4 separate regions of the Mus musculus genome follow, and regions 2, 3 and 4 are each reported to be linked to region 1. The links are microRNA targets in miRTarBase. Many come from high-throughput screens and were not tested one by one. Region 1 holds a microRNA gene; each other region holds the end of a gene's coding sequence.

Region 1 (7,124 bases):
TAGACATTCAATATATTTTATGTGATATAAATATATTATCTAAACATTTTATGCATTAATATAATAATTTATATATTAATATTATGATGCATTAATATGATTAACATAATTTAACTATATTAATTATCTATACAAACAAACTGTCTATCCCTCCAATTAAACCACATCTCTGGAGACTGTTGTTCCCTAGAGATGAGAAATAGACAAGAATTGTTTCTGGAGTAAGAGCTCCATCAACCTTAACTAGGAAGCTATTTTTGTTAGATTGTTCCTAAAAAAGTAAATTAACATTTGATACTGAAAGCAAAACTATTGGTTAATTGAGAAATGGAAACAAGAAGCTAATTGAGAACTTTTCCTAATGAGAGTTCATTGAGTTGAAACCAGAGGTATAGAGCTGCTGGCAGTTCATTCTAGCTCAGATGACAACCCACTATGATTAAACAGATTCATTGATTTGTAATTATTCAAGGGCTAAATTGACTTCAACTCAGCCTTGCTTCAACTTATAAACTAGTTCCTAAGCATACTATCGTGAATATTAATATGGTCATCTGACATTTGATAGTCTGCATAAAAAAATGCATGGTTTTATTTCCTAGGAAAGTATGCATTTTTGAAATGTTTTAAAAGAAGTGGCTAAAGATCATTGCTTTCTAATTAGTGTCCTTCATTCTTTCCTCCCTAACAAGAACCTTCAAATGCTGCAGAAATAGCCTGCAACTGGGAGGTTGTATCAAGAAGAACAAGAGCTCAAGGCCAGCCTGAGCTAATTGAGTCCCTATCTAAAAACAAAGAGGACGTGTACAGACGATGTGCTGTGTGTACTGACAGGAGGAAGTCATCTCTCGATGGCCCTTTTACAGGAGTCATAAATTAAGTCAAGATAAATTTGTCAGATTCACGCAGGAAGTTCTTGTTTTTGATACTTTTCATGGTTTCCTTCCGGTCAATACTATCAACCCATCTCCTCAAAGGTCCTACCCCATCTCCCAGATCAACAAAAACCCAGAAATTAAAGCAGTAAACAGCTCCTCCTCAAGGTGCCTTCCTGGATCTATCTAACCAAATGTAATGGTCTGCTTGGGCATTTTAACCACACCACAGGCATTCTTACTTAGATTAAAACATGAGTCTCCCTGGTCTCTAGACATGCCTAGGCATGACCAGCAGATGCAATAAGATCCTTGGAGTTTCTCTAGTAACTGTGGGCAGGATCAACAGCAACCCTAAGAACAGACATTCTTTTCTATTGTTGCTTTCTAACAGAACTAGGGCACACGCATTTTTTTTTCATCATTTTACTTTTTATCATTGAAGAAAAAAATTTAGTCTAAATTTCAAGACAGTTTATGCAATGATAGCTTTGGATGGAAGCAATAAAACTCAGGTAAGATATTTAAGATGCTACTAATAGAGAAAATCCCTAAGCTGGGTGGAAGCATGACACATGGAGTGAAATTGAGCAAAATGCAAAATAAATGATTTTTTAATGATGTCCTCCTAAAACTTGTAACTCTTCATAGTGTTTATGGGATGGAGGCTATTTCTACTACTTTTATTTATATTTGAACGTTTAAATGACCTTTTGTAGGATACATTATACTTTTCTCAAATACAAGAAGACTGAATACAAGATAGTTATTTACAAATGTCTTTCATAAGTTAATTTTATAATAATCTGGCATTTTCTACTTCATTTTCCTTTCACTTAAGCCTTCATAAAACAATGACTCTGAAGGAAAAAAACATTGTCTTTTACTTTCAAAGATAATGTTAAAATATACACAAGTTTATTCTTGGGAAGTTCTTGGGTTTTAATGGTTTCCACTTGGAATTTGTGTTGAATGTTCCTGATGATTGGCATATATTCATGTAATTAGTGGCATCTACAAGACCATTTGCTGGGCTTACAGGTATCAGTGTATAGCTAAGAAATGTCCCTTTGTAGACTGCAAGACTGTTGGATCAATACAAATGGGTGTCATACAGCATACAGGAAGACCACAGTCTGGGACGGCTACTTCCTACTGAATTCCACAAAGTTTGCAATCAGAGAATACTGTATATCCTCTCTGGGCTCAATTAATTAAAGGAAAGGAGAGGAAAGACTAAAGGAAAGAAATATTAGTGAAGATGGCGCAGAAATGCTGTCCCCTCAGCGCCTCCTATTCCCAATATACACAAACACGCACCCCGTTATCAGATATAAAATAGCAAAAACAAGGGGAATGTAACTGACAGAAGATATGGCTTCTCGGGCTTCTACAGACCTCATCCTTAATGTCCAAATCTACCCTTGCTTCAAGGATCTACCTGAACTCTCACCTCCTCCATGATGGTGTCTGTCAGCTCTTGTTGGCACACCTCCCACCCCCACCCATACCTGTTTTTTTCTATTAGGAAAATCTATCAGTTTAGCAACTTTATACTGTCTGGAGTAATAAATAATGTGTTCACATTTTGTTACCACCTAGACTGTCTGATGGGTAGTAAGACAAACGCCTGTTAGGTGCTGGATTTGTAACATTTAAATAAAACAGGAGCCCAAAGTGAGACTAGATATCCTCAAGGCTCACGGGGAGATCATCAAAACTGTGTCTTTGATCTTATAAGGGCCACAACTTTGACCTACCAACAAGGGTGTTGGTTCAATGTTTGACCAGAAGAGTGGCCCACACTTCACTGTATGGCCCTGTAAGAGGTAGTCCTAAGAAAGAACTTGGGTACAGGCAAGGGCAATCCTGCAGGTATGAGTGCCCAGGCCTGCTCAGGCAGGAAGGCTCCAGATGAGACGCCTGGGAAGCGGTTTCTGAGAATGGGCATATGAACAGTGAGGAGGCCTGGGGCTTCTTGGGCAATATATTGGGAAGGAGAGATGGATGTAGGTCTCTGCGCTTCTTTCTTCGATGTAGCAGTAACTACACTGTGAAGATAAACTTCTCAAGAATCTGTCTCTCCATCTCCCCGGCCCCTTCCCAGGAGGCTCTGCAGGAGCCCTCCCATTGCCCCTTCTGGTAGCTTCTGCCACCCCTCCCCCACTCGCCCCGCCCCCTCGGCCTCGGGGTTCCAAGGGCGGTTGGTCGCTGAGCCACGGTCACTCGGCCAGTAGGAGCTGCGGGGCGCGCGGGCTGGACAGAACCGGCTCTAGACTTGGGTCTGGAAGCCGTGAAGAAGTTGTTGGAGGCGGGTCAGACCCGGCTTGCGGGAAGAAGGACTCGGGCCGGATGCCCTGGGGTCCGGGCTGAGTCGGGGGTCTCGGGGGGGACGGCGGGGACAGGGGGCCTCAGCGCCTGGGGGTTCACCTGGGGTCGCGCGCGGCCCTGCTGGGTGTGGAGGGGCCTCGGGAGCCTGAGGCACCTCTCGCTCCGCCGCCCTCGCCTGTCGACCGTGGCGAAAGGGGGCGAGGGGCCCGACCCTCGGGAGCTGCAGTGGCGGGCGCCCGGTGCTCGGTTTGTAGGCAGTGTAATTAGCTGATTGTAGTGCGGTGCTGACAATCACTAACTCCACTGCCATCAAAACAAGGCACAGCATCACCCGCCGCCCGCGGGAGGAGAAGCCAGCGCTGCAGCCCCACTGACTCCGCAGAAAGCCGAGGCCGGAGCCAGGATGCGTCAGCAAAGGGCCGGGAGCACGAGGTCTAAGTGCAAGTAACCCTCGGAGACCGGCGGCCTCCTTTAGGGACCGTTCGGCTACCTGTGTGTAAGAGCCAGAGCAAAAACGGTTCAGTGATGTGTAAAGAGAATCGGTATACACCGGCCTTAACATAAAAAAAAAAAAAAAAAAAAAGGCCAGGAAGAGCCCCCCCCCCCCCCCCCCCAGAACAGTTCCTGCTGCTGCTGTGATTCACTGCCTGATTTCCACTTCTGAGAAAGCTATCACCAAGGCAGCGACTAGAGTCAACCACAGCTTGGCTGACGATTTGCTCTGGTCACACCAAAGTCTGAGAGCACCAGCTAAAGACTGCATGCTTTTTTCTGAGTCTAGTTACTAGGCAGTGTAGTTAGCTGATTGCTAATAGTACCAATCACTAACCACACAGCCAGGTAAAAAGACTGAAATTCCTCCGACTGAGCCTCCTGTGAATCGTCATTTTGGTGAGGACAGAGCCATAGGGAAATATTCTTACCATACTATTAGTGGTTTGGGGGGGGGGGGGGAACCGCTAGCCCTTAGCTGCTAAGTATACAATGTATCAATTTGTGTGGGGTACATTTTTTGTGATTTTTAGATATATTGGAAAAATAGAAATTATCCCTTAGCTGATTTGGTCATTATATTGACTTGTGATTATAAATCTTTGGACTTTGCCTGACATATTAATAACACTCTAAAAAATAAAGCGCCACGAAAATCTCAGCAATCGTGTTCATTTCCTTTCCAAAAACTGGCTTTAGGATCTCCATTTCAGCTCCTGTCAACCCCGTAAAGTCATTAAATGGTTAGTTGCTATACAGACAAAATCTCCAGGGAAACGTCTCACACATGATTGTGACCTGGAAGGGAACGTTAAATGTTTTCATAATTTTCCATGGGGCAAGGGAACTCAGCCCACTTAACCAGGTATATTTTTTAAGGTATTAACAGTTGCGTTCTAGGCAACTTTTCGTGGGAATAATTAGTGAACACGATTTAAAACCAGCTGGTTTCCTAATATCTGTAATAAAAGATTTGAGAGGTTTTAAATCACACAAGCTGTATCCACCGGTACTTCTCGGCCCAGTTCTAGATTAGCGCTTTATGCAGATGTATCAATGCAAACCTGAGAATTTCCCCAGAGGTAAGAGTGCGAAGCCTTGGCAATCTTGTCCAAAAGAGGAAGGCGCTCTTTAAAGCTCACATTATTGGGCTATCTGGGGGAGGAGGAGACGCTGGCTGAGGATCTAAGAGACAGTCCAGGACTGTACACATCACAAAGTTGAGGCTTTTACTCTTAAGGCTTGACTGGCCCCGAAAATTGTGACCTCGACAGAAGCCAGCTGCTGATGGGCCACAAGCCCTCGAGGAACCCCAGATCTACGGAAGAAGAAACACAGGCATTCCGGTGGTGGCAGTTACCAACAGGACGGTTCTCCGGTAGGGGCGGGACGCCAGAGCTAAGGAAAGCGTCCTGAGTCACCATGGAAACGGGGCCCAGAGGCTGTCCTAGCGGCAGGAAGGAATCCCAGGAAATCTGCTCCCCTGGATTACTGGTGTTCACCGGCTGCTCTGAGCAGGATGCCAATTTGGCTAAGCAGTTTTGGCTCGGGGCGTCCATGTACCCCACTACCGAATCTCAGCTCGTGCTGACCCGAGGCAGCAGTCAGAGGCTACCGGTGGCGCGGAACTCTAAAGTCGTTCTGAGAGGTGAGTAGCAAGGCTACCTCCTGGAAGGGGAAACTGCCTGGTCTAATTGTCAGTCAATTGAGAAGTACAAACAAGCAGAAACAGGCAGTAATAGGTATATGCAAATACACAAACAATTCTAAAACTGCTGCAATTCTCCACTGTAAAGGATCTCATTGTTACATATAAATTCATTCTAGAGCTGGAGAAATGGCTCAGCAGTTAAGAGCACTGACTGCTTTCCAGAGGTCCTGAGTTCAATTCCCAGCAACCACATGGTGGCTCACAACCGTCTGTAATGGGACCTGATGCCCTCTTCTGGTGTGTCTGAAGACAGCTACAGTGTACTCACATAAATAAAATGAAAATCTTAAAAAAAAAAAAAAATTCTAAGAGTCCCTTAAATGATGGCTTTTATTTGGCAAAGAGGATGGGTTAATCTAAGGAAATGGTGCTTAGATTAGGAAAGCATTTACATAAAATTGAATTCAAATTTAAAAGCCCAAGAAAAAGTTGTTGGCAGAGTCTAATTTAGGAACCCTGTTTCCTGACTGACAAGCCTTCGGGCCAAGGATGTATAAAGTGTTCTTATTCAATATTAATAGGTATATGAAATTAAAATACTGTTCATGTCAGCTTTTCCAATAACTTTCTCTTCATTTGTATTTCTTAGAGAAAAGTTCTGTCCAGCCCTTTCCCTTTGATCAGGACAGTAAGTATCAAGTTTTAATGCCTTTTTATATGTAGACTCCCCAGATTATCTTAGAATTCCTAGAAGTATACATTTACACTGTGATATAACTAAGCTGCATATCCCACACCTTGCTTCAGGGCTCACATACTCACCCAGAAGATAACTTTCTGACTCTACAGGCACTTTCTCCCCAGCATCCCTGACCCCACAGGCACTTTCTCTCCAGCATCCCTGGTCCCACAGGCACTTTCTCCCCAGCATCCCTGACCCCACAGGCACTTTCTCTCCAGCATCCCTGGTCCCACAGGCACTTTCTCCCCAGCATCCCTGGTCCCACAGGCACTTTCTCTCCAGCATCCCTGACCCCTCAGGGACTTTCTCCCCAGCATCCCTGGTCCCACAGACACTTTCTCCCCAGCATCCCTGACCCCACAGGCACTTTCTCTCCAGCATCCCTGACCCCACAGGCACTTTCTCCCCAGCATCCCTGATCCCACAGGCACTTTTTCTCCAGCATCCCTGGTCCCACAGGCACTTTCTCTCCAGCATCCCTGATCCCACAGGCACTTTCTCTCCAGCATCCCTGGTCCCACAGGCACTTTCTCCCCAGCATCCCTGACCCCACAGGCACTTTCTCTCCAGCATCCCTGAACCCACAGGCACTTTTTCTCCAGCATCCCAGGTCCCACAGGCACTTTCTCTCCAGCATCCCTGACCCCACAGGCACTTTCTCCCCAGCATTCCTGGTCCCACAGGCACTTTCTCTTTAGAGGCTGTTTCTTATCTCCACTTATGATTTACTCATCATGTAAAGGTATGGGAGGGTTCCTGACATCATGAATAATTAATGCAGTCTTCAGTTATTTACCAATCATTATAATGTCAAGACAGTATGTATTTGTGTCCCTTCCTACTCTATTCTCCCATATCCAATTTCATGTCAAAACTGTAAGAATTATGACAAAGTTGTGTCAGATTAAATTTGGTTTTATTTTCTCTAGAGGATGCAATTATCTTTGCTAAAGCCCAAAGGATTCAGGAATCTGAAGAGAGAGCAAAGTATCTCCAAAAGGTGAGCCAGCGCTTCATCTCTCCTGGTTCACCT
Region 2 (7,124 bases), not on the chromosome of region 1:
ACTGAGATTGCAATGAGCATAATGAATGAGGGACATTTGACTGACACTGCACATATCAGAGACCAGCAAACTGTTGGACAAGAGACTGACCAAATATCAAAAAAAAAAAAAAATCCATGTACCTTCTGTTGTTAATATCAATTATAAATTAATAGAATTTTTAGAAATCAGGTGTATTATCCTAAAGTTCTATAAATAATGGAAAAAGGAAATTTTAAATGTTTCTTCACATTAGAGTTGGGGCACAATGCCAACTCGGTTTCTGTAGATTGTAAAACCACATTTAAGAGTGATGAGTGTGGCCATGAGATTTCCTTCACCAGAAGCGTAGTTCACCATTAACAACTCTAGACATTTCACAGGTCATTTATTTTTGACTTTCATTCTGATGTCTCATAAAGTGCCGGGCTCTGAACACATATACAGTTTTGTTTATTGTACACTTCTAAGAAAACCCACTTCTCTATAACCATTTCAGACTTTGAAGTCTCCAGCATTCTGAGAGACAGGAACCATGAGCTTTTCTTTGCTCTCACTTCTCATTGTCTCTTATAGAAGGTGAAGATGATGGACAGAGAAGCTCCACCGAACAAAGTGGAGAAGCCCAGGGAGAAGCAGCCAAGTCTGAAAGCTAACACTCCATTCTGACGGTCATCAACATCTGACAATGTGGCAAATATCCTGGCGATGCTCGGATGTATTCGCAGCCACGGGTGAAACGGAGGGGAAGAAAATGGCTGCGCTGCACAGCAAGACACTGTTGGTTGCCATGTCACAAGTGGGGATGGAGCCTGTGTCTGCACACAGCCTTTTCCCCACCTCTGTCATTAGCAATGGTTGAAATCACCTGGGCTGTGCTTGGATCTCCTTCGTGTATGGGTCCTTCCACTTGACCGTATAATGAAATGCTTGTAGAGAGTAGCACTGCCTAGCTGATGATTCCTGTGGCATCTGGCCCCTCATGATGTCAGAGGATTTAATTGTGTCTAATTGAAAAGAGTTGGTTGAACCCCAGAGTTTCAGTATCTCTGGCTGGAGTATTGACTCACAAAAAGAACCATCCAGAGAGCACAGTTAGCATTATGTCCCTGTGTGTGAGTGCTGTTACTTACGCCGTTTTGTATCGTACAGTACACCTGCTCTGCACTGCCCTTTGATTGCTTACATAAAACAAAATGATGTACATGACTGTGAATTTTTATACCGCTCATTTTTTAAAGGGCTGCCTTTTTAATTTCCCATAGTGTTGTGGCGTGAACAGGGCAGAACCTTCTTTTGTAAAACACAACTTTCCTCTTGATAACTGCCGAGGGTTACATCCACTAGACTCACTGAGCCCACTTTGCTTTATTATACAGGCATGTGGAAATATCCATGAATGTGAATATTGCCTGAGTTCAGTCTTAGTATCTACACAGACCAGCGTTCTGTCTTTCAATATTGATTTTATTTCCAAATAAGTACTTTCAACTGATACTTTAATTTTTCATTATAAGAATTTTTTTAAGAATCAACAAAATAAACAAAGAATGCCAGATAATGCAAAGAGCTAGAAATGTTGTGCTGTGAGGATCACTTTTCTCACACTGCTGGGTGCCACTGTTTAACGCAGGAGGACAACTTGTGAAGGAAGTGTTTTCCTCAAAGCCTGTGGGCACCCATCTCAAAAGTAAAGCCCTTGTGCTGTGGCCCCTCTCAGCCCTTTCATACCCAAATGTTGTTATGCACTTTTTAATGTTTGTAAAATTTTACTAATAATTTGTGTGAATTGCATTCAGATATAAAAATTATCACCCAACTACACTTTTACTGATGCTGTTGATGGTCTACGCTGTGTTTTGACATCACAATTCTTGTATGGGGAGTTTCTGTGGCCTGTATAACCCTCTCTGGTCAGTATTATGAAACCAACTATCTTTGGTAATAAATGAGGATCCAGTTAGATGCCCAAGGTTCACCTGGTGCATCATAGGAGGCAAATAACAGATGAAAGAAGACTTTCTCAACAGAAGAGCCTCTAAGTGTCCTGGAGCACTAGCATAGCTACAGTTCCAGGTTAAGTAGGTAGAGGTGTTTCAACAGGCAGACCTGGGTACGGTAGGAACTCGACCTGAGTCTGTAGTTACAGACAAGGTAGACAAGGAAGTCTGCCTATATCTTCCCATAGAGTGCTTTCATTACTGACTGGGAATATATGAATCTCATTTAGTCCCCAACTGGATGTTTTCCAGAAAAACAAGCACTGTTAAGTATGCCTTTCTGGATATAGAACAGTAAATACATTCAATATGAGAGGCCTTGCTTTGATCTAAGTCATTGGAGGCTAGCTAAAATTGAAACAAATCTACCTATTGATAGACTCAAAGTTGTGAACCTATGGCCTATTTGAGACAATCTCCGATAATCTATTTACAACATCCAACAGTTTCAATGTCCTTGTTTAACTATGCTGATAGCTTTCTTGTGAATAGGAAGATCATTCTTAAAGTTGTGTAATTCCACACTGGTTTCACATGCATTTTGTAAAGTGTTGAACCAGTGCTAAGACTGTGTGGAAGGGTTATACCCCTGTGTCATATACTATTACTAATGCATGCGGTGCCATGCTTGTCTTTAAATATATAAGTAGTGCTAAATGCAGAAGTCATAGGGAGGTTCTGATTTCATTTGATTTCTTACTGCTACTTGGTGTCCTGTATTCAATCCTAGAGGGATTCTGTGGCTGGTAAGGGAAAAGAGATAAACATTCTGAATTTGTCACATCACATAAATTTTAATTGGCAAAAGTGCATAGAATCTCCTGGTTTTCATTTAATACTTATCATTTGCAAGTAAATAATACTACATAGGGAATGAATCTGTAAATGCAGATGGAAGTGTGGGCAGCCCAAGGAAAGGGGTGTTAGTTAACTACCCCAGCTAAGTCACTTCAGAACCAAATGTACCATTCAGTTTCATCTTATGCCCCTTTCACAAATTACAATGTGAACATGAATAAGGACTAATTTTTGCAAAACTAAAAAGCTAATTTGAGCCCATGTTTATCAACAGAATTTTGAATCCACATTTCATAAAATTTAAGCTAATTACACAGTGTGTTTCTCTGTATGGAAAACTATAGATAATACACTCAGTCAGCTTGCATTTTACAGAGAAAGAATTTAAGTTACTAAATAGACTAGCCTTTCTTGGGTTTGTACACATGTCTTTGGGACAAAGACACATGTGGTTGAGCCTACCTTTTTTTGTTGTTGTTGTTGTTTTAATACTCAATTATAGCTTATTTTGAATTTATTTAAGACATGTAAACTGTAAATTTACATGCTATGTTCATGCTATGTATGTGAACAAATATTCTTGCTTTTTATTTAATAACCTAGAAACACAAAATTTTCCATTTTAACACATTAACAATGAATGAGAAGCTGTAGAATTTGTTGAGCTTAACTTTTTTAAACTAAGAACATTTTATGTTAGTACATATTCATCCTGAATTCACAGAAATGCTTTCTGCTCTATAACAGAAAATCATGACCTTTATTTTTCAGGAAATACTGACATAGTAGCCCACTGTTCACACCCTACCACTGAGTCTTCCTTAAATGTGACATCAAGGATCCAATGTAGAATAAAATGACATTTTTATCTCTTCTCAGAGGAATACGAAAAAAATGTAACTGTTGGGCAGCAAACTTCTAAATGAATTCTGCAGTAGTAAGGGAAAAAAATGTATAGTCATTAAATTAAACGAAGAAAGGATCCATAATTGATTGTGTCTTAGAAGCCTGGAAATGTTCTTTCACTGACTTGTGGCAGCCTGGGAAGTCATCTGTGAGCTTCTATGACTTTTGTATTTAGCAATGTTGCATGCTCACATAACTGATATTAAAAGCAGCACTTGTTTTCTGAAATGCAGTCTCTCAAGAGTCATTATTTACTGCATACTATATATTGATGCTGAAGAAAGGATTGTAAAACAGGATGTGAAAGGCAAACTCAAAGTCTGAGCTATCTCAGGGTGCGTATCCCCAAGTCTCTGGCTTTACTTTCCTGCCCTCTACCCTAGATGCTTCTGATCCATTTGACTCTAGGTGTCCAGCACCTCACTGTAGCCTTCTGCCATAACCATGCACACTCAGAGCTGTAATGTCAACTTCAACCTATGCTTCTGATTTGGTTAAGAGAGAAAGTATTCAAACACACTAAGGTTTTTAAAACATTCTTCAGTAGCATACACCGAGAGAGGGGGGGAGGGGGGAGAGGGAGAGAGAGGGAGGAGGGGGGAGGGGGAGATGGAGGGAGAGGAGGAGAGGGAGGGAGAGAGAGAGAGAGAGAGAGAGAGAGAGAGAGAGAGAGAGAGAGAGAGAGAGAGATTGAGAATACTCTTTATCACAGGCAGGTAGAAAAGGCCAAGAAAAAAACCAATGTGGGAGTCAAGTGAAATTAGCCATCCATCTTTCAGGATCCGAAATCCATAGGCCAAAGAACCTTGTAAATATTTAAATTTGTCTTACTTAAGCCACAAAACCGAAACATACATGTGAAACACTCTCCCTGGATACGTCTTATGACTTTCTAATTTAAGATATTAGTGAAAATCTAATGTAACTTCAAACTGGATAAGGAATAAGAATTTAACAGTTATTGAGATATAAGTCTCCCTAACAGGTACAATTAGAAGAAGAAAAATCCTCAAAATTCAGTAGACAACAGAAATTGAAATTATACAGTGGATAGGCATAACTATGGACACTGAAATTACATAAATTGGAAGACATAAGGATTATCATTTTTTCCACTGGAGTTACCAACATTCCCACACCCCTTCTCTATCTCTACTTAGAAAGTTTTTTTTTCTCCAATTCTGCTTTTTTTCTTCTTTTTGGAATTTACTTCTGTATGCATCTAATTTCTATTTTAAATGCATAATTTGAGAGAATTAATGGGTAGATCAGAATAATAGGAGGAAAAGCAACTCTTGTGTTTGAAACGTCAGTGCTATAATTGTTCTTCATCAGTTATGAAGTACATCTTGAAGTTGGCAGCAGTATGTCCTTACTACAGTATTTTAGTCAACACATATTATTGAGAGCTAATAAATAAAGGGGATTACACACTCACTGAGTGGGTTTCTAAATGAGGTGACAAAGACTTTAGTAAGTAGATTTTTTTTTGTAAAGACTAGAAAAGGAGGCAAAGAGACTATATTCTGAGCTAAACATTTTTAATATTACTAAATATAACAGGTAAACATTAGTTATAATTCTCAATAATCCCTGGGTTTTAGATGTTCTTATTATATATATATATATATATATATATATATATACATACATATATATATATAATATAGTATAATTATACATAATATGTGTGTAAAATATATTCATATATACACAAACACAGTCAATACACTGTGGAAACCTAAGGTTCATTAAAATAAATTCAGTTACACCAAATGAGAATAAAAGTGCATCACATTAATTTATAAGTGGGTGGCTATTGTACTAATAGCAATAAGAGAGAAATGTGTGCCAGGCAGTGGAGGCGCACGCCTTTAATCCCAGCACTTGGGAGGCAAAGGCAGGCAGATTTCTGAGTTCGAGGCCAGACTGGTCTACAGAGTGAGTTCCAGGACAGCCAGGGCTATACAGAGAAACCCTGTCTCCAAAAACAAAAACAAAAACGAGAGAGAGAGAGCAGTCATGCAAACAGAGAGAGAATGAGAAATGCGGAACGTTCAAAGTAGATTTTTGAGGAGAAATTTTACTGAAAAGAAAGCAAAGCAAGGTCTATATGCTAGAATTGTTTCTTGAGATGAAGATTTCATTGAAGAAAGTTAGTACAAAAGATCTACAGTAATGTTCACTGGTAGGAAAGTGGAGGTACATCACAATGGATACTTGTTAAGTATGGGAAGAGGAACTGGGCCAAGTGGAAAAGTAGAACATAAGACCCTAGTAGGAAAGCCTAGAAGACCAAAAGCAGTTAAACATGGCAGATTGAGACGTGTCTGATATGAACTCTCTAGGAGACGTGTCAGAGGAGAAAACACAGAAGTCAGACCACATACCAACAGAGCAACTCTGGGCCACAGAAAAGCCCAAACCAAGCCTTCAGCAGCCAAGAAAGAAGTCTACTTGTGGGTGTTAAATTTTGTTCAGGTATACTAAATGTTAGACAGAAGTTATCTTAAGACTTATTCTGAAGAAAAGAATTCACAGTTGAAAAAGCCAAAGAAATGTTAGAAGGAAATAGAGCACCAGCTGAGCTTTTCTTCCTTCCTTCCTCCCTCCCTCCTCCCCTCCCTCTCTTCCTCCCTCCCTTCCTCCCTCCCTCCTCCCCTCCCTCTCTTCCTCCCTCCCTTCCTCCCTCCCTTCCTTCCTTCCTTTCCTTCCCTTCCTTTTTTTCTTTCTCTCTCTCTCTCTCTCTCTCTCTCTCTCTCTCTCTCTCTCTCTTTCTCTCTCTCTCTCTCTCCTTCCTTCCTTCCTTCCTTCCTTTCTTCCTTTCTTTCATTGAGGTATTTGCTTACTTTATATCCTGATTGCAGCTTGGGCATATACCCAAAAGATGCCACACCATACCACAAGGACATGTGCTCCACTATAGCAGCCTTATTTTTGATAGCCAGAAGCTGGAAACAACCCAGATGCCCAACAATGGAAGAATGAATACAGAAAATGTGATTCATTTACACAATGGAATACCACTCTGCTATTGAGAATGAGGACATCCTGAGTTTTGCAGGCAAATGGATGGAACTAGAAAATATCATCCTAAGTGAGGTAACTCAGACCCAAAAGGACATGCATGGTATGTACTTACTAATAAGTGGATATTAGCCAAAAGAGTACGGAATACCCAGGACACAATCCACAGAATTTAAGAAGGTTATCAAGCCAAAGGCCCAAGTGAGGATGCTTCTATCCCACTAGGGAGGGAGAAGAAAGATAATCGCAGCTTCTACTCACTCCTCTCTTCTCAGTCTTTGTCTCTCACCCCCCACCAAGCCCCCCCCTCCTTTCTCCTTAGAAGAGGGAAGGCCTGTCATGGGTATCAAACAACCTTAACAGACAGTTGTAGTAGGACAAAGGGCATCTTCTCCTTCTGAGGCTAGACAAGGC
Region 3 (7,124 bases), not on the chromosome of region 1:
GTCGTGCTAGTCTAATAAATACAATTCATAATTTCCTGGTGTTACTGGAAAATAACTTTACAATAAGCACTCAGATCTTGATACTCTTTCAAAATCAGACACTTGAACTGTCTAAAGTGTAAACTAGAAATGCTTCCCAGTAAGCCAGCTATGGTGGCATCCACATGTCATCCTGGCACTGGAAGATGGAGGCAGGAGGGCCTGGAGTGCGTGAGGCATGGGGGCATTGGTCAAGGCTGGAGGAAAAGACAGACAGACAGACTGACTGGCTGGCTGACTGACTGACTGCCTTATACTAGTAAGGCACTGTTGCTAACACTCCATCTAGTCAGTATCCGGGGTGAGGGAAACTTAGCAGCAGTGTCATTTGCTGGGGTGGAGTGAATATATCGTGTGCTATTTTATCACGGCGTGTTCTCTCTTTTAATTTTAGCATTAAAGAGAAGTATCCTCAAACATTTGATGACATATGCCTTTATTCTGAAGTTTCTCATCTGTTGTCACACTGCACATTTAGACTTCAGTGTCGGCGGTTCATACAAGAGTTATTTCAGGATGTACAGTTTTTACAAGTAAGGAAGACTGTAGTTCTGAAATTTGTCTCCCAGAATTATTCTGTATTTGAAGTTGAAAGTTTATGTCTATATTACATACCAATTTTATTTTTTAAAAAATTAACAGTTTATTACTTCTTCCTAGATGCATGAAGAAGCAGAGGCTGTGTTGGCAATTCCACCAATTCAGCCTATAGTTGATGAGTCTGCTGAATCCTGACCTCATGCTTATGACGTTTATAGCTGGATACTCTATATGTATTCCTACTGTGGACTTCCTGAAAGCCCCACAGGATACTGACTGGCTGACAGTGAGGCAGGAGAGCCTTCTGACACTGGCCAGCAGTTATTGGTACAGAACAGCTGGGACTGCTGGCATTCCTAGCCAAGCCAACTTCTCTCCCGCGTTGGGCCCTTCTCGGGGTTCGTGGTTCATTACCATGGTTTTAATTCAGTTACCATCATATGCAAGAGCCAAGCACTGAATATCTACATAGGTTTTCTATTTTTTTATTTTCAAAGCGCAATGGCAGTGGAACAAAACAGGACATGAAGACGCATCCTTCACACCGTTGTTTTCTGAATGCTTTTTAATCAAGGGTAAATACAAAAGATGCCTTGTTTGTTAACTAATTTGTGGAAAGCAGGAGTCACTGACTCCGAGACTGCATCCTGTTACCCCGTGGGCTGTAACTGCTGGTATCAGAGGAACACACTCGCCTTTCCACACTTCTTAATGTCTGTAACACTACTTCAGAGGTTTATAACTTCACAGCAGAAGGAACACCTCAGCACTCGGAACTTGGAAGTTAGTTTACGATGCTAGATGCATAAGGATGCTTACTTGTCCTCTGTCGCTTCAGGTTGTTGCAATACGTTGTTAAAGGCTATTTCTACTAATTAAGGTTTTTCACTATGGTTGTGATGTAGTAAGGAGTAAATACTTCTCGTGTTCAGAGCACATTGTACCCAACCTCCTCCACTCCTCTCACCACTTACAAGGGACTGAGCCAGATGAGCAGTCTGGACAAAGCAAAGGAAGCATGAAGTGAGGCTGCAGTCTCTCAAGGAAAAGACAGCTTTGCCTGCAGTTTACACATTCCATGGGAAAAAGGAAGAGCCATATGTCCTATTAAAACGTCATTGAGACTCGTTATTAAGATTCAGAATTGTGGTGAAAAGCCTTAATTACTAAATTTTAAAGCAGCGATAATTTAATTTTTGTTAGTGTTCCTGTTTTGCATAAATTGCAGTTATAGGTGAGTTAAAAGTATAGTCATTGCCTTTATCACATTTGTGAAGTTGATGAAGGCGAGACTTTGTCTGTCTAATTTGTTTATGTATAAAGAGACTTGGAAATCTTCACAGGAATTAAACATATATGCAAATTTGTACATAAAGTAGCATGAACATCATTACTAGACTGCTTACGCGTGAAAGGGTTATCTTGGAACAAACCATCCAGCTGACTAGGACTGACTAGGACCTTTGCAATTCCTTTGTGTAACCCATTTTACAATTGCACATCAGCTTTAACATGTCATAGACATTGGTCCATATTTTCCCATGTCGTACACCCTTCTCATAATGGTCTTGTTTGCAAGACTGCTGTAAAGTACCCTGTGAACTAGAAAACATAACTCACAGAAATTTGTCTTTGAACTTGCTGGCACTGAAAGTTGGCACTGAGACGAAGCATTTCCTGTCCCTCCTGACTCCTCTTTGACTGCACTTGAGCGAGTTGTTCTTCTGTGCACTGTATAGCAACTTCCATGATAACAAAGCAGACAAGGGCTCTAAGCTGCTGCTCACATTACAGCACAGTTCGCATTTTCCCAGAAAATTCAGTGAGGGTAAAACTTTCTTTTCAACTTCATCACTGAACCCGTGTTCATTAAATGTCAGCAGTGCTTGAAAGAGCATGCCTATCACCTTGGTCTTTGGTCTTGGACAATAAAACTGCCTTTCCAGAGAACCAAATGTCAGAGATACTAGACCAAATAATGGTTACAATTCCAAAGGAAGTAATGTAGTCTTATTCATAAATGGGATTAACATTTTAGACATTCATTTTAAACACTACCTCAGTTAACAGAGTAGAAAATCTGTGGTTTCGTCCCTTGAGAGTTAATGATAACTATTCTTGTTTGTTTTTCTTCACACAAAACTATGCCCATTCTCGCGCCCAAGTCAGCCATCATGAACCTGAGGCTGTGCCCTAGTGTCCTAAGCCAAGGATTGTGTTTTCACTTTGACTGTTACTTTGAAAGGTGTGTGTGTGTGTGTGTGTGTGTGTGTGTGTGTGATCATATCTGCCTATAGCACTTACTTTGGGAAGATATCAGAGCTTTGTGATGATCAGTATACTGGGGGAAATTGTCTATGCTTAAATTTATAGTGCTATTTGGTTTAACCATGGTTTCACCAACAGGTGTAATACATTTCTTTTTAAGTACATGTATAAAAGTAGACTTTTATGACGAAAACGACATGCAGTGCCAAGTGATTAGCATAGGTGTTTAAGACTATTAAATTATAGCAGAAAAGGTTATGAATGATGTCAATGGTAATAGCAATCATTGAAAAATTGTCTATAAATATTAGATATTACCAAAATGTCAATACCGTAGTTTTTCAAGAGTTTAGAATTAATCTTAGTCATATAAATTTGTACTATTGATAATTATTTAATAATTTGGAGGAGTTTGAACAGTTAAGCTGGTTGTAAACTGTGAATTTCTAATTGTAAATTGTCATTTCTAATTGAAATTTTTTCAAGAACAGATTTCAGCTTCACATACTAAGTACTGACAAATAAAAAAGTGAGAAATTTAGTATTTATAAGAAAATAGGCTCTAAAATGTCTTATGCTTTTCTGTTTCTGCTTAGAGTATAATGGAGGAAGACAGTGTCCCCTGACCTAAGTGTTTCTAATAAAGAGTAAGTGTAGAGACATCCCACAAGACAGCAGCAGTGCAAGGCTCTTAGGAAGTGTGTGCACTGTTGCTGTGGTGATGTATCCAAGTCACCAGGAGCCGTGTCCTCAGGAGCTTTCGGCTCTTGTCCAGAGCTTGAGACAGTTGAAGCTGGGTTCCATCACTGAGACCAGATGTGCGTAGGGGCTGCTAGTGTGTGTGTAAACTGCCCACTGCTGTTTCCATGCACTCTCAGCCCCTTCAGCTGATGCCCCTGGTGCCCCACTCAAAGCACAGACCATTAAGCAATAAACAAAATTGTCATTCAAATTATAATTGTGGTTATTCTCCTGTGATAAGAGGTGCTAATTTTGTGTGAGAAGAACATGTGACCTCTTTGGAAATATAGTTTGGAAGTAAAGTTTTTCCCCCTCTTCTTGTACTTCCATTTTGTCCCAAATTCACAGTTCATGAAAGAAAAGTAAAATTGTTTAGGAGACTTCTAAGAAGAGCTGCTTGCAATAAACATTTCAGATTTTCCCGAGTGTGAGTTGGGAAGGTCTCCATTTCCTCCATACTGACAAAGCCTGTTGTTCCAACGTCTCTTAGCTTGGAGAGTGTCTCTACACTGAGTCTCACCTCAGCCTGCCAGTGACCCTGAGGTCACTGCTGAGGAAGACACAGGAGTCTGCACTAGTCTTTACAAGAGCCGTTGTCATTTCAGGTCCCCGGGGGTTCATTACAGTACATTTATACAACTCACAAGAGTGTGGGATTCCGCCCCTTTGAGTATTTTTATAGTTAGGTGGATAACTGCCGCAGATGCATGGATTGCACATTTTGACTCTATAATACTTAGTATGAAAAATTAATTTATGCCAAAAAAAAAGGAAACATATCTTACAATTTCCCCAACTAGGTTGATCTAGCACAAGATGCAAAGTCTTGGGGCAGAGCGGGAGTGGTAAAATCTTTTAATGTATGATTGTTGAAAAATGTTCCATTACTAGCCTGTCAAAAACCCTAATGATGCATTGTAAAACAAATGATGTAAATTAAATTAGCTTTGAAAAGTGGTAAGGGATTATAAAGAGGATCTCAGATTTAATGCTCTCTGACCACATGACCTTTTTTTTTTTTTTTTTAGTAATACGCTGCTACATTTTTGGAGGTTCTGGTGTTTGTAGGTCACTGAACAGACATTGAAATCTGATTTATATTGTATAACTGTAACATAGAAAGAAAAAGTATTTATATATTTTCCTTAAGAATATTTCATTGAGTTGTGTATAATTTAAATAAGATTTGTCCCAAAATGGTTTTGCTCACTTTGATTTTTTTGTTGTTGTTATTGTGGTTGTATTGTTTTTGTACAATGTGTACAGTTTATGTTAAGGGCATTAAAGCCTCCTGAAGCATAATCTTATCAAAGGGATTCATTGTTAATAAAATGTACTTAAAATTCTTAAACTTGTGGTGGTGTTGACATTATTTGAAAATTTAATGTGTCTCATTGGGCCTTGGTATGAATCATGTGCTGATGTTGACAGGTGTGGTTTCTAGTAAATGGGGGTTTTTGAGTCTATAAATGGGCATGGTCTTGTACCACGAAAAGAGGTCCCACTTGTACTTCCTTGGCATTCTCCCAAATTTAGTGTGCCATGCTTACTCTTCAATTTCAAATCATTACGGTGAAGGATTTGGACCTAGAAACGTCTTTAAGTAGAAGAGCTCTGGGCTTGCTGAGGTAGTGTTAAGACAACGACCACCATGGAAGTGGTTTGATGCTCAGGAGTCTACACACACTCGCCTGAGCAGATAGGCCAGCCTTCTGCCGCCTTGGCTAGACTAGCGCACCACAAGAAAAGAGCCAGCTGAGAAACTCGCTGTGGCAGTTGCTGAAGTCTGTTTTCCCACCTTGAGCAAGCTGGTTGCAGGGGTTTGGACTGTGTTCATATCTTGCTCACACGCTATACTGTGTTTACCAGAAATGTCGTTAACACCCAGGTGAGGAGTATGCCTAATATTTTCATACTTGAATAGGACAGTGATAGGTTTTATTTTTAAAGGGTCTCCAGATGCAAGTATTCACATAGCAGGAGACATAGCTCAGTGGTTAAGAGCACTAGCTCTTCTTCCAGAGGACCTGGGTTCAAATGCCAGCACCCACCTGGTGGTTTATAGCCATCTGTAATGCTAGTTTCCTCTTCTGGTGTCTAGGCATCAGGCATATACATAGGCACAGGTGGAGGCAGACATACACACAAAATGTTAAAAATACTCAAACCACTGTACTAAAATTTTAATGAATATTTCATGAAATAATATCTCAAAGCACTGTGGTTTTCTTGGTGCTCATCTGGAGCACTAGGTGAGCTTCATACACTTAGAGCCAGGAATTGGAGATAACTCACGATCTTGTTTGTCAGCTTCTTGCGCGCGCCAGACTGGCCAGCAGTAACGACGCTGCAACAGGATCCTTCTGCACACATTTATTGGGAGAGCTTGATTGCAGAGACCCCGAGCCCAGAACTGGTGCTGCCTATATAGGCCTAGGAGAGGCGTGTCTCACACCTGGATTGGTTATGCACTAAGCCTCATTTGCATGTTCCTCATTTGATTGGCTACTCTCTCTGTACCTCACAGAGCCTCATTATCATACCTCATTTGCATGTCTCACATCGGATTGGTTATACTCTCAAAGCCTCATTATCATGCCCAGGCCAGGCAGTGTCTTTGCAAAAAGCTTTACTGCATATGTACACATTGGTTGGTTGTCCAAACTTATGCATGGTGGCCAGCAGTAGTCAGTGCCACTCTGCAACGGCACATGTGGCTTCCCACATCTCCCCCTTTTTGTTTTAATAAAATGAGGCTGGACTAGGCCTGTGCAATTATGTCCATCCGCCGTGGCTCCTGTTTTAGGTCGTTCCTCTGTTTCACAGCCTTACCCGTCATAGGGTAACCCTATCGCCACCGGGCCCTGTGTCTTAGGTTGGACTGTGCATGAGGAAAGTTGCCTGTCTCTGGATACCACAGTGCTGTGTGACAGTAACTGCTAAATGACCTAGGGAGAACTTTGCAAAAGAGGCCAGCCAAAAAATGAATTAGTGGGGAAATCATGATCACCCTATCGCTTGCAATGAGGAAACCTCAGTGATGTGCAAGGGCTGATCAATGATCGTTGAGTCTCTCTCATCTCAGTGCCGTGGAGTGCAAGAGCAGAGAACTCAGATGCCAACTAATTCTTGAGCATAGATAACCAAATTTCAGGGGAGGAGCCGTTTTCAATAGCTAAAAGTGCCTGAGTTATAATCACCTTGTCACGTTTTTTGTTGGGTTCTGAATTTGCATACCAACCAGAGCATGAACACCAGTCCACAGCATATGGCAGCACCAAACAAAATCACTCCCACCCATTCCTTAAAGTAAGAAAAAACAGAGGTGAGCCAAGAGGTAACTGGTTCCACTCTGGTCCCATTAATAAGGTTCAGGATCTGTATCTGCAGCCTCGTCTGCAACCTTTCCAGCTTCTGCAACCAGTTCCCCTTCAGGTAATTTGTTAGGTCTGTACTTTTAATAAAAGAATTATTAATATACCTATTGGGAGTAATGCACACATGCGATGTGGATGCCACACAACTCATTTGTATGA
Region 4 (7,122 bases), not on the chromosome of region 1:
CATAGTCCCTTACCATATGCCCCTAACCCATGCTCTTTCCTAACAGGTTCAGTTGTCTCTAGAGTGAGTTGGGCAGCTAGAGATCCATTGTGGGAAGCCACATGTGCCGTTGCAGGGTGGGGCTGGCTACTGCTGGCCACCATGCATACATAGGCAGTAAAGTTTTTTGCCAAGACGAGGTTTTGAGAATTAACCAATCAGATGAGAGACAAGTTAACCAATCAGATGAGAGACAAGTTAACCAATCAGATGTAGGCATGCAAATGAGGTGGTAAGCATAATCCATGCATAACCAATCTGGGTGTGAGACACACCTCTCCTAGGCCTATATAAGCAGCACCAGTTCTGGGCTTGGGGTCTCTTCGCCTCTGCAATCAAGCTCTCCCAATAAACGTGTGCAGAAGGATCCTGTTGTAGCATCGTTCTGGCTGGTGAGTCTGGTGTGAGCAAGAATCCATATTCCAATGGTGTTCTATTAAGAAAGACATGATGAGCAGAGCCACACTGCACTGGCCCCTGATATAATAAATAGCGTAGATATCATTTAAGGCAAAATGAAATAAAAGTATCATGTACCCTGTGTGTATGTACAGCTGTGGATGTGCAACAGTGGCCTGCATGGGCAGAGGAAAACCTCAGGCGCTGGTCCCTGCCTTCCCTCTGGTTTGCAGCAGTCTCTCTGTTGTTTCCCACTGCCCACATTAAACAGGCCGGGCTGTGAGTTTCCAGGATGCACCAGTTTCCGTTTCCCATCTCTCTCACAGGCACACTGGGATCACAGGTGCTCACATTGTTTGTCTTGCTTTTATGCACATTCTGGAGACTTGAACTCAGATTAGCAGGTCTGAGCAGCAAGCACATCTCCCCACAGAGGCATCTCCCCAGCCTGAGGAAAAGATTTCTTAAAGCCAAAAGGACCATGTGGAAAGGTATTCACAAAAACAAACAAACAAACAAAACTATGTTTCTTATTCTAGTGCTATCAGGGACCGCAATAGTTAGTTAAAAGAAACTTAAGAAGTGATAGATTAGCATTACAGTAGAAAAGAAGGAGTTGCTGTTAGAACTCAAATTCAAAGAGAAAGTCTTTCATAAGGCTGTTGGTAATTTTGACATTAATTCAAGCTCACCTGGAGCCCTTTTAGTAGAAGGCCTATTTTCTCAGGGGCTGTAAAAAATACCACTAACACTTGCATGTGATCACGGGAATCAGAGTTTGACAAATGTTTAACACAAATTATCTCACTTAATCCTCAAAACCTTGTCATTATTTAGATTATTATTCCTATTAAGGAATTATGATTTGTATTAAGGCCAAGAGAAATGATCATTAGCAAATTGCAATTTGTTTAATATATGCACAGCAAACATGAACTAGGGTATGACTCGGGCACTGGCTGAGGGGCCAAGTCCATTACGTGCTATTTGGTGGATAATGGGACCCTTTGAAGGCAGGGAAACGGAATAATTAGTAGAATTAGTGTTTAATTGGCCCGGAATGAAGCCCGGGCTGAAGGAGAGTTGGACTGGATGCAGGGTCGTGTGAAGGCAAAGACGCTGGTGGCTTGGACATGGGAGAGACCTAGAAATACATTTATAATATATTAGGTCATAAAAAACAACGGCCCTTGGTGAGGGACTGACGCCTGTCTAGCTCACTAGCTGTAGCAGCTGTGCTAGTCTGTCCAGCACACTCTAGCCATATAGATTTGTTGGTTCTTAAATACACTAGTAAGTCTTTTCTAACCTCTGGGGTGTTTGCTGCACGGAGCAGACTGTTTGTCTGAATTTTTTTTTTTTCCCTATAATTCCATTCTGTCATTGTATCTTATCCAAGTCTCACTCCCCAGAGAATCCTTCCAGAAACCCATGATCCTTAGGTTTGGTTCCACATTGGAGTTTTTCTTAATAAAATCCAATTATACCTACCTCACCTCTGCCAATTTACTGCACGATTGTCCACTTTCTTGACCCATGCATTGTATTTCAAGTGAGTAGGGACTATGTTTGTTTTGCTCATCGTGGTCACATAGTGGCTAGGTATGCAGAATTCTTGGCAACATGTTATTTGGTGAATATTTATTAAGAAAATAAATATCTGACCTTCAAGGCCCTTATACTTACTGCTCTGTACACATCTGACTATCTTTAAAAAAAACATTTCTTCTTCGGTCTTGGAACTACTAACACAATATATTTCTAGTAGAAAACAGTGCTTCCTTTTTCAGTCTGTGGAAGGATACAAACTATGTAACTCCCAGTGAAGGCAAATGTTAAGGGTGGGAGGGAAGGGCTGAGAGAAAGGCTTGGGGAGTGAATTCTTAGGCATTGGTGGAAGGAGCAGAAACATTGAAATAACTGTTTGGGGAAACAATGTAGCAATATCCATCAGAGGCCTCGAAATAAATATAAACACATTTAAGGCATTTGTATATGTATTCACTTGTCTGAAAATATAGAAACCAAACCATTTATCACAACCAAATAAGCACTTCTAACCCTACTATTATCCTGCTACAGGAACATTGCAATAAAATGAGTCCTGATGACATTTCTGTCTATCTGTAGATCAGTGAGGCACTCAGCCCTCATCAGAAGAGCTTCTCTTTGCAGTAGACCAGAAGGAACAGACAGACCCACAGATGGACAGTGTGCAGAGAGGGAGAGACTTCACAGCTCTCAGTCCTAAAGGACTGAGTTTATCAAACTCCACTCAAGGCTCAGGGATCTGTGTGAAAGAGGAGGTGGAAAGACCATGAGAGCCAGGGCTGGTTCCCAGATACAACAGGACTGATGCACATATGAACTCATGGCAACTTTGACCACATGTATGGGATCTGCAGAGGTCAAGCCAGCCAAAACCCGAAGGTGGACAAGGGGAAGTGGATGCAAGTCCAACTCCAAGTTTGTTGTGCCTTTTTTGAATGTTTTTGGTTTTTTTTTTATTTGGTTGGTTGTGTTTTGTTTTGTTTTGTTTTGTTTTGTTTTGTTTTGAGACAGGGTTTCTCTGTGTAGCCCTGACTGTCCTGGAACTCACTTTGTAGACCAGGCTGGCCTCGAACTCAGAAATCCACCTGCCTCTGCCTCCCGAGTGCTGCGATTAAAGGTGTGTGCCACCACTGCCCAGCCCGAATGTGTTTTTTAAGAGAGAAAGAACATGAAGTTGACAGAGTGGGTGGGAGACCAAATCGCAGAGGAGTTGGGGGAAGAACATGACCAAAAAAGATTGTATGAAATCCTCAAAATAATAAATAAGAACATAAAAAGGGCGCTTCTAGGGTTTGAAATGGCAAAGTAGAACAGCTGGGTATTTTTGCCCCTAATGGAAAACTGTTGCTATTATAATAAAAATTAGCATTAAAGAGAAAAACAGAAAATAAATCTTCACACTTTTGCAGTAGCAATTCCACTTCCACAAATCTCTGGTAATAACACAGAGATATCTGGTCTAGCACTGTATGACAGCAGGTTCATTATTAACATTTTAAAAAGTGGAAATCATCTAAATGCCTAACAATAGAGGGAGGAGGTTTAACTTACTCAAATGATGGTTTATTCACTATAGATTAAAATTATGTTCTGGGTAATAAGGATATGAAAAATGCCCAAGTTATAATACGACATAAAAAATTAAACTATAGCATAACCTCAACTTGCTAGGAAAAGAAGAAAATGAATAAGAAAAAAAGTATGGCCAGGAAATTTAGGAAATGAAAAACCCACTAAAATGCTATTAATGGCCATTTCTGGATGACGAGACTCCACAGGTTCACACTGGTTCATTTGGATTTTTATGTACTTCCTAATTTAAAATAACCACGGAAGCAACATCATCTTTGCAGAAGGTATTTACTCCCCGTTCTAATGAGTAATTCTCTTTCTAGTAAACCATCAAGTGCTTCGGGATGAGAAAATGCTCTGAGAAATTTATCACCAGGCAATTCCACCACTGTGCATGGAGAATGAATGCCCTTAAAGAAACCTTCACGACTTAGCCCGCTAACAGTGATATAATACAGTCTTTCTGTGTTAACTTGACACAAGCTAGAGAAAAAGGAATCTTAATCAAGCAAATACCTCTGTGGAATGCTGCTTACTGGCCTGTAGGAAGTCTGTAGGACATGGTGGGCAGTGCCACCCCAGGGCAGGTGTTCCTGGGTTGGTAGAAGAAAGCAGGCCGAGACAGACATCGGGAGAACGTAAGCAGCAATCTTCCATGGCATCGATTCCTGCCCTGCCCTCCTTCAGTGATATTTCAATGTGGAAATGTAAGCTGAAATAAACCCTTTCTTCCCCAAGTTACTTTCTGATCATGTAGATTTATCACAGCAATAGAAGCACTAACTAAGACAGTAGTGAAATCATTTGTCTCAGTCAAGATAAAGGCACTTTGAAAGAAGAACCCTTAATTGAGAAAATAGCTCCATAAGGCTAGCCTATAGGCAAGATTGTAGAGCATTTTCTTATTAGTGATTAGTGTGGGAGGGCCCAGCTCACTGTGATTGGAGCCAGCCCTGGATAGGCAGTCTGAGTTGCATAAGAAAGGAGGCTGGGCAAGCTATAAGAGCTACCCAGTAAGCAGCATCCCTTAATGGCCTGTGCTTCAGTTCCTGTCCCGAGTACTTGCCCTGATTTCCCACAGTGATTGAGTGGGACTTCAGAGCTCCAAGCGGAGATAAACTCAGTTCTTTCCAAGTTGTTTCTGGTCATGGTCTTTTGTTGCAGCAATAGAAACCCTAACTAAGGCGTTGTTAAGGAAAAAGAAAATAAGAGTGATCTTTTCAGCCACAGAAAGAAATGTATCAGGTTATATTATAAGCCACACTGAGCTATACTACAACGGCAGCTGGGGCCTTAGAAACCCTTAGAATCAAGCAATTATGGACAATACCTGTATCACTTGCCTTCTGCAATAACCCCAACTTTCAATTCTATGCAACAACATTCTTCATTAACAGTACAGGTACTGTGGTGCATAGTGAGCTCTGATTGGGGGTGAGTGAGCACTGTAGTACCCAGGACCCTCTCATGAGAAATGTGCTCAACTGTAACTGCTCTGTTTGCTTAACTGCAGGACGTTCTGAAACCACATTCCTTCATATGAAGCAGCCTATGTCTGAGCCTGGAAACAAGGGAAGACATTTCATTAACACAAGTTTCAAGTGAGTTTTCCCTCTCAGGAAACCATGTATTTATGTAGAGTCACAGCTTAAAGTACCTTATAAAATAAAAACATTGTACGCTTGAGTTTAAATAATTCTCAGGTAGAAAATTTTTATTGACTGAAACCAGTGAACACATATATCCATAAAAGGAGGATGCATAAAGTTTTCGAGTGAAAATGTAAGATTCCCATGTCATACTCATTACAGGTCAATTTTCATTTGCAATCTGAAACACTGAGAAGTGCACTGTTAGTAATCTGCAGAGATATATGTAAACCTAGATGATTTTGAAGTCATTAACGTCAGGAACCTTCAGGGGGAGTCAAGGGGAGCGCAGTGGGATGAACTCACAGCAGTACTGGTACCATTTTAGATTTCTTTCTTGCACTATACTTCAAGCAAAAGAACACTGCAGGACAAATGCCAAAACATTTGACGGCCTGCGGCTGCTTCCCTAATTAATTACTGTAATGAGTAAGGTTTCATACTCTGCTAGGGCACCATCATACCTTCTGCCTACAGACCTTCCCTGATCCCTGAAAGCAATCTGACAGAAAAAACAGAGGCCCTTTGGTCTTGCAAACTTTCTATGCCCCAGTACAGGGGAACGTCAGAGCCAAGAAGCAGGAGTGGGAGGGTTGGGGAGCAGGGTGGGGTTAGGGTATAGGAGACTTTTGGAATAGCATTGAAATGTAAATGAAGAAAATATCTAATAAAATAATTGTTAAAGAGAGAGAAAAAAAGAAAAAACAGCATGGCATTCACTTCTTACTTCTTTCGTTTTTCTCAACAATTGCTCTTGGCTCCTGTGAGGCGAGAAGGCACACTCGAAACCCAGTGCTCCTATTGTGATCTCCCATCACTGCTATTTGTCTAAGATGCAATAAGTCATATTATCTGTAGCAATAGTGTCACCGAATCCTCTAGAAAATATACTTGGGCAGTCTCTCTTCAGTGCGAAAGAGTGAGGTGGCCGGAATGTGATGGCGAAGGAAGCCAGTCTTCCAGAACATCATGTGAGGGAGTCCAGCTGCGCTTGTATGGTCTCCAGCTATTTACAGAGACAAAATAAAGACAGCAGTGAGTGAGTGAGGGGAATAAACCGCATACAAAATGCTTAGAAACATGCAAACCAAAGGGAAACGGAGGCAGCAGGAACTCTGTGCAGTGAACCACGCTCAGCATAACACGGCACAACAGTAACAGTCAAGCTGCTTTTCTGGATGTGTAAAGACCTTAGGATTTAGGCATTTAATGTTTTAGTCGTTTAATGTTTTTACATTCACGAAGGAAGAAGTATTACTGTCTTAAGTGCACTTAGCTATTTTAGTAAATTGTCACTACACGGTAAGACTTTAACGTTTGGTAGTTAGTAAGATGCATTGGAAAGAAAAATGAAACACGCTCAAAGATAAATCTCTAAAATCTGTCAGCTTCCTTTTATCCTTGGGCTCAGCCATTTTTGTATGCCAGGTGGTCTACATGTAATTGGCCAGTGGCTGTGGGGAGCACACAGTGCCCGCTTAGTTCTATACAAAACACTAATCCTATCTCTCTCTTAGTTATTGTTTTCCTTCTGATTTAGTTTTCAGAGTCTCTTCATCTTGGTTTTGCCTCTTCCTACTGTGAAATATAAGTTGTTTATAGGAGTTTGAAGAATTTGGCCCTATCATTTGCCTATAGTAAGGCATTCAAAAATAAAAATTCATTAAAGCAAGGAAGCATCACACAATTTCTGCATCCTAGAAAACGTTGATAAACACAGACCTTGTTGTAGAAATCGAACAGCTCCTTGTGATTGAATTCCACGAGAACTTTCTCCACGTTCTGTAAAGAAACAAGGGAAGACATTCATTCGGCTGTACGAACGCAGTGCACCCTGCACTTCCCACTCTCCAGGTCGTCTGGGGATATGGGATTCTTAGAACTCACAAAATCACTGGGTAACATTCCATCT

The links. The annotated mature microRNA mmu-miR-34b-5p reads AGGCAGUGUAAUUAGCUGAUUGU and lies in region 1 at 3,459-3,481, shown strand. An mRNA with a match to its seed (bases 2 to 7 or 8) in the 3' UTR can be bound and repressed. Matches are read on the target gene's strand: a 7mer-m8 pairs with bases 2 to 8, a 7mer-A1 pairs with bases 2 to 7 and ends in A, and an 8mer does both.
Region 2: miRTarBase lists Pkia as a target of mmu-miR-34b-5p. Seed matches in the 3' UTR shown: 7mer-m8 at 923-929 and 7mer-m8 at 1,145-1,151.
Region 3: miRTarBase lists Rictor as a target of mmu-miR-34b-5p. The part of its 3' UTR that is shown has no 7-base or 8-base seed match.
Region 4: miRTarBase lists Commd10 as a target of mmu-miR-34b-5p. The part of its 3' UTR that is shown has no 7-base or 8-base seed match.

What each region holds. Positions count from the first base shown.
Region 1 is chr9:51,099,967-51,107,090 of GRCm38, reverse strand. It overlaps Mir34b (microRNA 34b), which reads left to right and starts at 3,446; the gene lies at 3,446-3,529. Hoatz (HOATZ cilia and flagella associated protein) reads left to right here and starts at 5,013. Exons shown (of 6, transcript NM_177702.4): 1 at 5,013-5,346; 2 at 5,999-6,037; 3 at 7,021-7,091. The coding sequence starts at 5,121. It overlaps Mir34c (microRNA 34c), which reads left to right and starts at 3,981; the gene lies at 3,981-4,057. It also overlaps a transcript of Btg4 not described here.
Region 2 is chr3:7,441,456-7,448,579 of GRCm38, forward strand. It overlaps Pkia (protein kinase inhibitor, alpha), which reads left to right. Exons shown (of 3, transcript NM_008862.3): 3 at 556-3,911. The coding sequence ends at 635. Among named protein-coding and RNA genes, the nearest start is that of Zc2hc1a, 58 kb to the right of the region's middle.
Region 3 is chr15:6,795,463-6,802,586 of GRCm38, forward strand. It overlaps Rictor (RPTOR independent companion of MTOR, complex 2), which reads left to right. Exons shown (of 38, transcript NM_030168.3): 37 at 434-572; 38 at 700-4,939. The coding sequence ends at 774. Among named protein-coding and RNA genes, the nearest start is that of Osmr, 75 kb to the right of the region's middle.
Region 4 is chr18:47,086,122-47,093,243 of GRCm38, reverse strand. Commd10 (COMM domain containing 10) reads right to left here. Exons shown (of 7, transcript NM_178377.4): 6 at 6,933-6,992; 7 at 5,249-6,216. The coding sequence ends at 6,178. Among named protein-coding and RNA genes, the nearest start is that of Commd10, 130 kb to the right of the region's middle.